Canis lupus familiaris: one gene and its partner. Each later gene encodes a partner of the first gene's protein in a complex. Links are inferred from orthologs where the notes say so. Each region holds a gene or a part of one and is shown in the gene's direction. Other genes may lie near its edges.

What was found.
Region 2: the proteins of ACTL7A (region 1) and TES are in contact, whole or in part, in a crystal structure (PDB 2XQN), measured with the Homo sapiens proteins. The link is inferred for Canis lupus familiaris from reciprocal best matches to the Homo sapiens genes ACTL7A and TES. Residues at the interface, in NP_006678.1 of Homo sapiens: Leu28, Gln29, Thr30, Ala31, Ser32, Leu33, Arg34, Asp35, Gly36, Pro37, Ala38, Lys39, Arg40, Ala41, Val42, Trp43, Val44, Arg45, His46; in NP_056456.1 of Homo sapiens: Asn311, Glu312, Tyr313, Thr314, Gln315, Ala316, Glu317, Leu323, Phe326, Leu335, Ala336, Gly337, Glu338, Ile339, Tyr340, Val341, Tyr353, Pro370, Glu371, Val372, Gln373, Arg374, Val375, Thr376, Tyr377, Ala384, Phe389, Leu398, Ile399, Gly400.

What each region holds. Positions count from the first base shown.
Region 1 is NC_049232.1:64,397,584-64,401,521, forward strand, and holds ACTL7A (actin-like protein 7A), read left to right. Parts: upstream 1-1,497; 5' UTR 1,498-1,861; coding exon 1,862-3,292; 3' UTR 3,293-3,412; downstream 3,413-3,938. UniProt on the Homo sapiens protein: Essential for normal spermatogenesis and male fertility. Required for normal sperm head morphology, acroplaxome formation, acrosome attachment, and acrosome granule stability.
Region 2 is NC_049235.1:55,320,841-55,325,414, forward strand, and holds the start of TES (testin), read left to right. Parts: upstream 1-1,577; 5' UTR 1,578-1,579; coding exon 1,580-1,606; intron 1,607-2,420; exon of another isoform or gene 2,421-2,483; intron 2,484-4,574. UniProt on the Homo sapiens protein: Scaffold protein that may play a role in cell adhesion, cell spreading and in the reorganization of the actin cytoskeleton. Plays a role in the regulation of cell proliferation. May act as a tumor suppressor. Inhibits tumor cell growth.

The sequences.
Region 1 (3,938 bases):
AACCGTCCTCCCAACAAAAACAAACAAAATGCCTCCAGGTGATTCATAAGAAACCCTGTACTTTGGCATTTGCCCTACTAGATTCTCTCTCTTCCTTCTTCTAGCTGCTAAAATTACAGGGGCCCAGTTCACCTTCCTTTTGAGAATCCAGGGTGGGCTGTGTCCCAAAGGCCGGAGCAAGGATACCAGCTCAAAGAGAAATGGGTTTCTTGGTCTAACCTTCACAGGTTTCTTTCTCCCCTATAGGAGGGCCTGGGAGTTGTTTTCAAGAAGAGTCACCTGATGGTTTTCTAGGCTCGGGCCAGAGGAGCAAACGTGGCCTGAGATACTGAGTAATAGTAGGTGCCTCTAACCTCGAAGGACTGCACCGGAGACCCCAGGGAGCCCACGAGCGCCTGGGATGGCTAGTGCCAAGCATGGGGGCTCGTGCATGCCAGGAGCGAAACATTCTGGGGGCAGTGTGCCAAGCGTCTCCATATTCTCCCATCATCGGTACCACACTGTGTCCTGACCCCGGAGAGAGAAGGGACACAAAGGGGGACGTAGAAGCTAAGGGGAAAGGCTTTGCTAAGAGAGAGCATCCGAGCGTGCAAGATCCTGACAGGTGAAGTAAAAGGAGTGGAGAGTCCGGTGACTGCAGCCTGCAGGACGTGCGGGGCCCCTGGGTCCCTGTGTCTTGGGCCTCAGAGACCAGGTGGAGCGAGCGCCTGGCGTTGAGCCAGCACAGCAGCTCTCCCACCCACACGGACACAAAGGGCCAAGGGGGCGAGCCGGGGCGGGCGTGGGGCGGGAGGGAGCATGTGAAACACGGCCTGGCAGGCCTTAGTGGGGAGCACAGGCCAAGTGACAGTGTGTGATGGCTCCCAAAAGGTATGCACACCTTTAATCCCTGGGATCTGTGTGAATGGTACCTTTCAGGGCAAAAGGGACCTCGCAGATAGGGGAGTTGGGGAGTCTGAGGCAGGGAGGTGACCCCGCGTTACCACCAGGGTCCTGGTAAGAGGGTGGGTCAGGAGGGTCAGGTCAAGGGAGAGATGGCAGGTCTTTGAAGATGAAGGGGCCCCAAGCCAAGGAACGTAGGTGAAGGTAGCAGGGTGACTGCGGATTCCCGACCTCCGGAGTGGTAGACGCTGTTTGAAGCCACTGAGTGTGGTAATTTGTTAGAGCAGCCACGGAGGATCCAGGGCAATGAGAATGCCGTCGGGCTGCCGCACATTTGTCCGAATTCAAGACGAAGGTTGAGAAGGAAAGACAGGGTCATCCTAAATTAAAAATGCCTTTGGTTTTCACATCAACATTCTTTTGAGGTGAAGTCGAACAATCCAAGGCGGCCGCGCGAACCCCTGCTGCACAGCAGAGGCAAGTACGTGAGCTCTTAGGCAGCCGGGCATCGAGCAAAGTGAACTCCTGTTCTCTCGAGATTCGATGCCATTTCATCCTCTTGGTTCACCCATCGAACCAAGAAGGTAACACTTTTATTTTTTTTCCTAATATTTTATTTATTTGGGGGAGTGAGAGGGGAGGAGAGGTAGAGGAAGCAGCAGCAGCGTGCTCCCCTCCCCAGGCCCCTTCCCTGCCTTTTCTCTCTTGCCCTTACCATCTTCTGCCCTGTGTGTTTCGGCCACTGCCTCTCCCCCCAGCTCCTGCTGACTAGAGTGTGAACTCTACGAGGGCACAGAGGTTTTCTTTTTTCTCCCAGCTGCCTTGCACGGAGCAAGTGCTCAATAAATAAGTGATTGGCTAGATCAGGCTTATTACACAATCTAGAAAAGGGTGAAGTCACCTCCAAAACACTACCTTAAATCCACCCCAACACGGGACACAGGTTCCCAGTATCTAGAAAGCCCCGGGTCACCAGATTATGTCACAATCAGTGATGTCATCATTGGGGAAATTCCCAAGTTGCTGTCTGATAATAAGCCTTTCAGGCCTTGACCCCAGTGGGATCGAGGAACTTTCTGAGAGCAAGATGGCTCTTGATAGCATGTGGGCTCCACAGGCAGGAATCATCGGGGATGGGCCTGCCAAGAGAGGCGGCGAACAGGCCCCCCTACAGGCCCACGTCCTCCAGACGGCCTCCCTAAAGGACGGCCCGGCAAAGCGGGCAGTGTGGGTCCGCTGCAACCGTTCGGAGCCAGAAGAACCTACTAAATCAACGACGGTCAGGGAGAAGCCCAGGTTAGAGGTGACCAAAGCAGTGGTCGTGGACCTTGGCACTGGCTACTGCAAATGTGGCTTCGCCGGGCTGCCAAAGCCCACCCACAACATCTCCTCGACGGTGGGCAAGCCCTACATGGAGACGGCCAAAACCGGGGACAATCGCAAGGAGACGTTTGTGGGGAAGGAGCTCATCAACCCAGAGGTTCGCCTCAAGCTAGTTAACCCTTTGCGGCATGGCATCATCGTGGACTGGGATACGGTGCAGGATATCTGGGAACATCTCTTCCACAAGGAGATGAAGATCTCCCCAGAGGAGCACGCGGTCTTGGTCTCAGACCCACCCCTGAGCCCGCACACCAACAGAGAGAAGTACGCCGAGATGCTGTTTGAAACCTTCAGCACCCCCGCCATGCACATCGCCTACCAATCCCGCCTGTCCATGTACTCCTACGGAAGGACGTCCGGCCTGGTGGTGGAGGTTGGCCACGGCGTGTCCTACGTGGTCCCCATCTACGAGGGTTATCCTCTGCCCAGCATCACCGGACGGCTGGACTACGCGGGCTCTGACCTGACAGCCTACTTGATGGGCCTGATGAATAACTTGGGGAAACACTTCACCGAGGACCAGCTAAGCATTGTGGAGGACATCAAGAAGAAATGCTGCTTTGTGGCCCTGGACCCCATCGAAGAGAAGAAAGTCCCAGCCACTGTGCACACGATCCAGTACACTCTGCCTGACGGGAAGGAGATAAGCCTGTGCCAGGAGAGGTTTCTCTGCTCGGAAATGTTCTTTAAGCCTTCTCTTATCAAGTCCATGCAGCTGGGCCTCCACACCCAGACAGTGTCCTGCCTTAACAAGTGTGACATTGCCCTCAAACGGGATCTCATGGGGAACATCCTGCTGTGCGGGGGCAGCACTATGCTCAGCGGTTTCCCTAACCGCCTGCAGAAGGAGCTGAGCAGCATGTGTCCCAATGACAACCCCCAGGTAAACGTGTTGCCCGAGAGAGACACTGCAGTGTGGACGGGCGGCTCCATCCTGGCGTCACTTCAGGGCTTCCAACCACTGTGGGTCCACCGCTTTGAGTATGAGGAACATGGGCCTTTCTTCCTCTACAGAAGGTGCTTCTGAACTCTGAAGAAGCATGGTTGCCGTGCGTCGGCTTTGCTGGGCGAGCACCCACCCTACACATACGGAGCTGAGCCCACGTCTGCTCCTGCAGTATTAAACGAGCCTTGTGTTCCCTCCATAGCGTGTGTCTCTGTGTCCTGACTTGGTAAGAGCAAGTTCGTATATGCAGCAGGTGCCTTAAAATATACAGCTGGCAAACAAAAGTCGGGGTATGTGTGAAACACAGACCTGTATTACGTGTTGCTTGTGTAAACATTCCTGGGAAAAACAAGCTTAGAACGACTGTCCCTTTTTTGTACTCCCCACTTCAGGAACGACTGCATTGTTAAATCTGCTCAGAAGGGGAGTGTGAAGAAGATAGGTTAGAGCGTCAGGGCTGCTGGGGCGTAGAGGCACATTCCTTTTGATAAACAGCAGGAAGCATGCTATTATGGTACAGTCTCCCACAAAGCAGCAGAGTACACTTCATGCTCCATGAAGGCTTGTGAAGAGCTGATGAAGATGTCTGATCCCTGCTTCCACTGTACTTTTAGTTCCAACAGTCACTTAGGTCTCAGTATCAGTTCTTATCAAGCCATCATGGTGACAAGCTGGTGAAACCTGGCATATGAGTAAGGTACACCTATCTGTCTAAAGGGGGCAACTC
Region 2 (4,574 bases), on another chromosome or scaffold:
GGGAGATTTTTTCCTTTTTTAAAATAGATGCCAGATGAAGTCACCTCTTGTCTGTGCAGTATAGTTTTTTGTCACCACCACAAACTGAAAAAGAAGTGGACTCTTCTGTCTTTTCTCTTTTCCTTAGTCAACACACGGTGTCTAGGTCCCCAAAGAGGCTGGGGGCACTGCTTAGTCTCATGAGCGCTCGCTCTGCCCCCAGGAAGTCGGGCAGATGCCGACAGGACACTTCTGGGGTCCTCAGTTCCCAGTAAAACGAGGAAGCTGGACTCGGTAACCGGGGATCCCTTCCAGACCCACTCCTGTGATGTTCACGCGCTCCCCGTGGAGCGAAGCCCTGAGCCTCGCGCTGCCGCCTGCGCCCACGAGTCTCCAGCAGAGCCCAGATCCGGAGCCTCCCAGGCCGCTCACTGCGGGGAGGGGGGGGGGGGTCACAACCCTCCCTGGCGCCACTGCCACTCACCCCATCCCTGTTTCTGAACCACTGGGTGCTCAGGGAACACGTGGGGGGCTGTGGGGCGAGGGGCTGGGCCAGGCCGGGGGGACAGTGGCCTCGGGGCGCAGGTCCGTCACCGAGTCCCCAGCAGTCCCCACCGTCGCGTGTGTCCCCACCTCCACCGCCGGCCAAGCGGGCCTCGACTTCCCCCCGAGCCCCGGCAGGTCCCCCGGCCGGGCGGGCCTCGACTTCCCCCCGAGCCCCAGCAGGTGCAGAGCGAGCCTCGACTTCCCCCCGAGCCCCGGCAGGTGTCCCCGGCCGGGCGGGCCTCGACTTCCCCCCGAGCCCCAGCAGGTGCAGAGCGAGCCTCGACTTCTCCCGAGCCCCGGCAGGTCCCCCGGCCGGGCGGGCCTCGACTTCCCCCCTGAGCCCCAGCAGGTGCAGAGCGAGCCTCGACTTCCCCCAGAGCCCCGGCAGGTGCCCCCGGCCAGGCGGGCCTCGACTTCCCCCCCGAGCCCCAGCAGGTGCCGCGCGGGCCTCGACTTCCCCCCTGAGCCCCAGCAGGTGCAGAGGGAGACTCGACTTCCCCCGAGCCCCCGCGGGCAGGTCCCCCGGCCGCGCGGGCCTCGACTTCCCCCCGAGCCCCAGCAGGTGCCGCGCGGGCCTCGACTTCCCCCCGAGCCCCAGCAGGTGCCGCGCGGGCCTCGACTTCCCCCAGAGCCCCGGCAGGTGCCCCCGGCCAGGCGGGCCTCGACTTCCCCCCCGAGCCCCAGCAGGTGCCGCGCGGGCCTCGACTTCCCCCAGCCCCGGCAGGTCCCCCGGCCGCGCGGGCCTCGCCTCCCGGGGCGCGGCCCCGCCCTCCCTGGGGACCCGCGGAGGAGCGGCGGCGCCCGGTGATTGGCGGCCGCCCGCGCCGCCCGCTGCCATTGGCTGCCCGCGCCTCTTTGTTCCCGGGCCCCGCGGCGGAAGTTGGACGGCGGCGGCGGGCGGCGCGGGCGGCGGCGCTGGAGTCCTGGCTGGGTCCCCGCGGTCCTCCCCGCTGCTCCTCCCCGCTCCCGGGCCTCCCGGCCTCCCGGCCTCCCCGGTCCCCGCGGCGCAGCGGACGGCGGGCGAGCTCGGGCGCGAGGTCCCGGCCCCGCGGACATGGAGCTGGAGGCCAAAGTGAAGAAGGTAGGCGGGGGCGGGGGCGGGGGGGGGGCCGGGGGGGCACCTGCGCCGGGCGGGGCGGGGCGGGGGCGCGAGGCGGCGGGTCTCGGGCCGCGGCCCCGACGGTTGGGTGCGGGGAGGGCGGGTCGGGCACCGGGCGCGCCTCGCAGCCTCCGGGAGCCTCCCCCGCCCCCCGCGCCCCGAGGTCGGGCCCTCCCGCTGCGCTTCCCCGCTCCCGCAGCCCGACAAGTGACTGTGCGCTCCCTTTCCGTTCCCTTTTCTCCCTTGGTCCCCCGTGCACCGCCCCCCCCGTCGTGCCTCCTCGCTCCTGGAGTTGGGCCGCCGGCAGTCGCCTGCCACCGTGACCCCGGTCACCCCCCCTCCCATCCCGTCCCCGGCCTTCGGGACTCGCAGCCCTCCCTGAGCCCTCGCAGCCCTCCCTGAGCTCCCGCAGCCCTACCTGAGCCCCCATAGTCCTACCTGAGCCCCCGCAGCCCTCCCTGAGCTCCCGCAGCCCTACCTGAGCTCCCCATAGTCCTACCTGAGCCCCCGCAGCCCTCCCTGAGCCCTCGCAGCCCTCCCTGAGCTCCCGCAGCCCTACCTGAGCCCCCGCAGCCCTCCCTGAGCCCTCGCAGCCCTCCCTGAGCTCCCGCAGCCCTACCTGAGCCCCCATAGTCCTACCTGAGCCCCCATAGTCCTACCTGAGCCCCCGCAGCCCTCCCTGAGCTCCCCATAGTCCTACCTGAGCCCCCACAGCCCTCCCTGAGCCCCCGCAGCCCTACCTGAGCTCCCCATAGTCCTACCTGAGCCCCCGCAGCCCTCCCTGAGCTGCTCCTACCTGAGCTGCTCCCTGCCCCGGGGCAGCCGCACGTGGGCGCCCGACTGTGACCCCGCAGGAACGCTGATGTCACATTCCAGCGTGACCTTCCCTGGGAAAGGTCTCGTTCCAGGGAATCGTGCCTGCGTACCTTGCAGTGACTTTAAGCTCGCTGTCCCTTATCAAATAGGGAGAGGGAGTTTTGCAGAGAGAAAGGAGGGGGGAAAAATCGAACCTTAGTTTTCTTCCCTGACCCACGAGGGTTGCCAAAATTGCCATTATTTCATCTTCTAGAGACGAAGTTCCCGACTTAAGCATTAATTCTGTTTCATGCCCCAGAACTGCACTTTTGAAAATGTAGGCAAATGCAAAACTCTCAGGTTGGGAGTTGAAACATAAAAACTTGGCAGTAGAAAAACCGTTTATCACGTAAGGCCACACCTGCCACTTACAGGGAATCTAAGAAGAGGAAAGCATAATGTAAGAGTAGTGTGATTGCATTCTCCTCTCTTCCCTTTTGGTTTCCTGTCCTCTTAAATGACACAGTACTTTTTGTTGACCTTGCCTGGCACTAGGACAGCTTTTTGTTTGCTGCTTAGTTAGCCTTCCATTCGTGAACACTGCTCCTTTGCTCAAGTGGGTAAGAGCTACCTAATACCTAAAATTTGAGGAGTCTTCCCTGTGCCTATACATATTGATGCAAACACTACTTTTTAAGAGTCAGCTTCCTTTTGGAGAGGAAGGGACGGATGGGTGAAGCACAGAGGATTTTTTTTTAGGGCAGTGAAACTATTCTGTATGCCGACTACCATGGTACGTACCTGTCGGTACAGAACGGTAAAAATGCATAGAATGAACGACAGACACCAAGAATGAGCCCGAAAGTATTTGGGGGAATAAGGATGTGTCAGTGTAGGTTCATCAGTTGTTAACAAAGGTACCACTTTGGTGCGGGATATTGATACTGTGGGGAGATATGTGGGGGCCCCCTGGGGGGTGGGGGGGGCGGGGACTTATATGGGAACTCCATACCTTGTGCTCCAATGTTCCTATGAACAGAAAACCACTCTGGAAAAGGAAATGTACTTACAAGGGGGAAAAATCAGCATTTAAAAGTGATTTTGAAATTATTGGAGATAAAGAAGAAGTAATTCTGAGGGAGAAAGTCCAAAGTTAGGAATGAATGCCCTTACAAGGGAAAAATTCAGACATTATTCATAAACAATTTCCTTAGCTTTAAAATGTGGATTATGATTTTTAAAGATGCCCTTAATGTATGGTATAATTCTTTCATCTCCCCTTTAGTGTAAAAGGCTATCTTTTCCATCCAAGAATCTTATCCTTTTCTCTGATTCTCCTCCTCTCCTTCCTTTACCACAGAGAAAAAAAGACTCTGTACATTTAAAGATCTTACAATCCCATGAGAGTAACAAATTCTTGTTTCACTACCTTGTCATTCATCACTGCTGATTCTCAGGGCAGAGTCCTCAACCAGGAAATTGGAAACTACTAAAAAGACCCTCAGAATGTCCAATTTGACTGCCAGCCATAACCCTCTCTGTGCCTTTGTTAGGACCCTTGACAGACTTGAGGTTCTGTGGGTTTGACAAAAAAACCTCCCAGTACAAAAACTTTGGAGATTCCAGGAATACATTTTACAGTTTCGCCATAATCACAAAAAGAAACTTCATTCCTTTTGGAAATTGTTTTCTAACACACCAGAAGAAGGAAACATCACAAGGTGTTATCTCTGGTCTACGAGCAGAGCCTTCTCACCTTATTTTGGAAGCTAGTTTTCAAGTCTTCCTTTTTTCTGGTTTGGGTATACAAGTAAAGTAATACCTTTCAAAAAGCCAGGTTGGAAGTTGGAACAAAGACACAGCCATTTAAATAAAACTGTTTTGATGTCTGTTTTAAGTTATGTGGCAATTTTTTCTAAAGCCCTTAGACTCTTGATTTCATGAGGCGTTTTCCCCAGACAGATGAAAAATGTAACCTTTTTTCCCCATTAACATTCGGTGTAAAAAGAATTAAAGAGGACTGTTTAGGCAACTTAGGCAGATGATACTGTTATAGGATTCTTGGTTTACAAAAGGAGAACTTGGTGTCCACATCATTTGCACAGATTTGGAGTAATTACCAGTTAAAACCCACCATCACAAAGACAAGGGATTT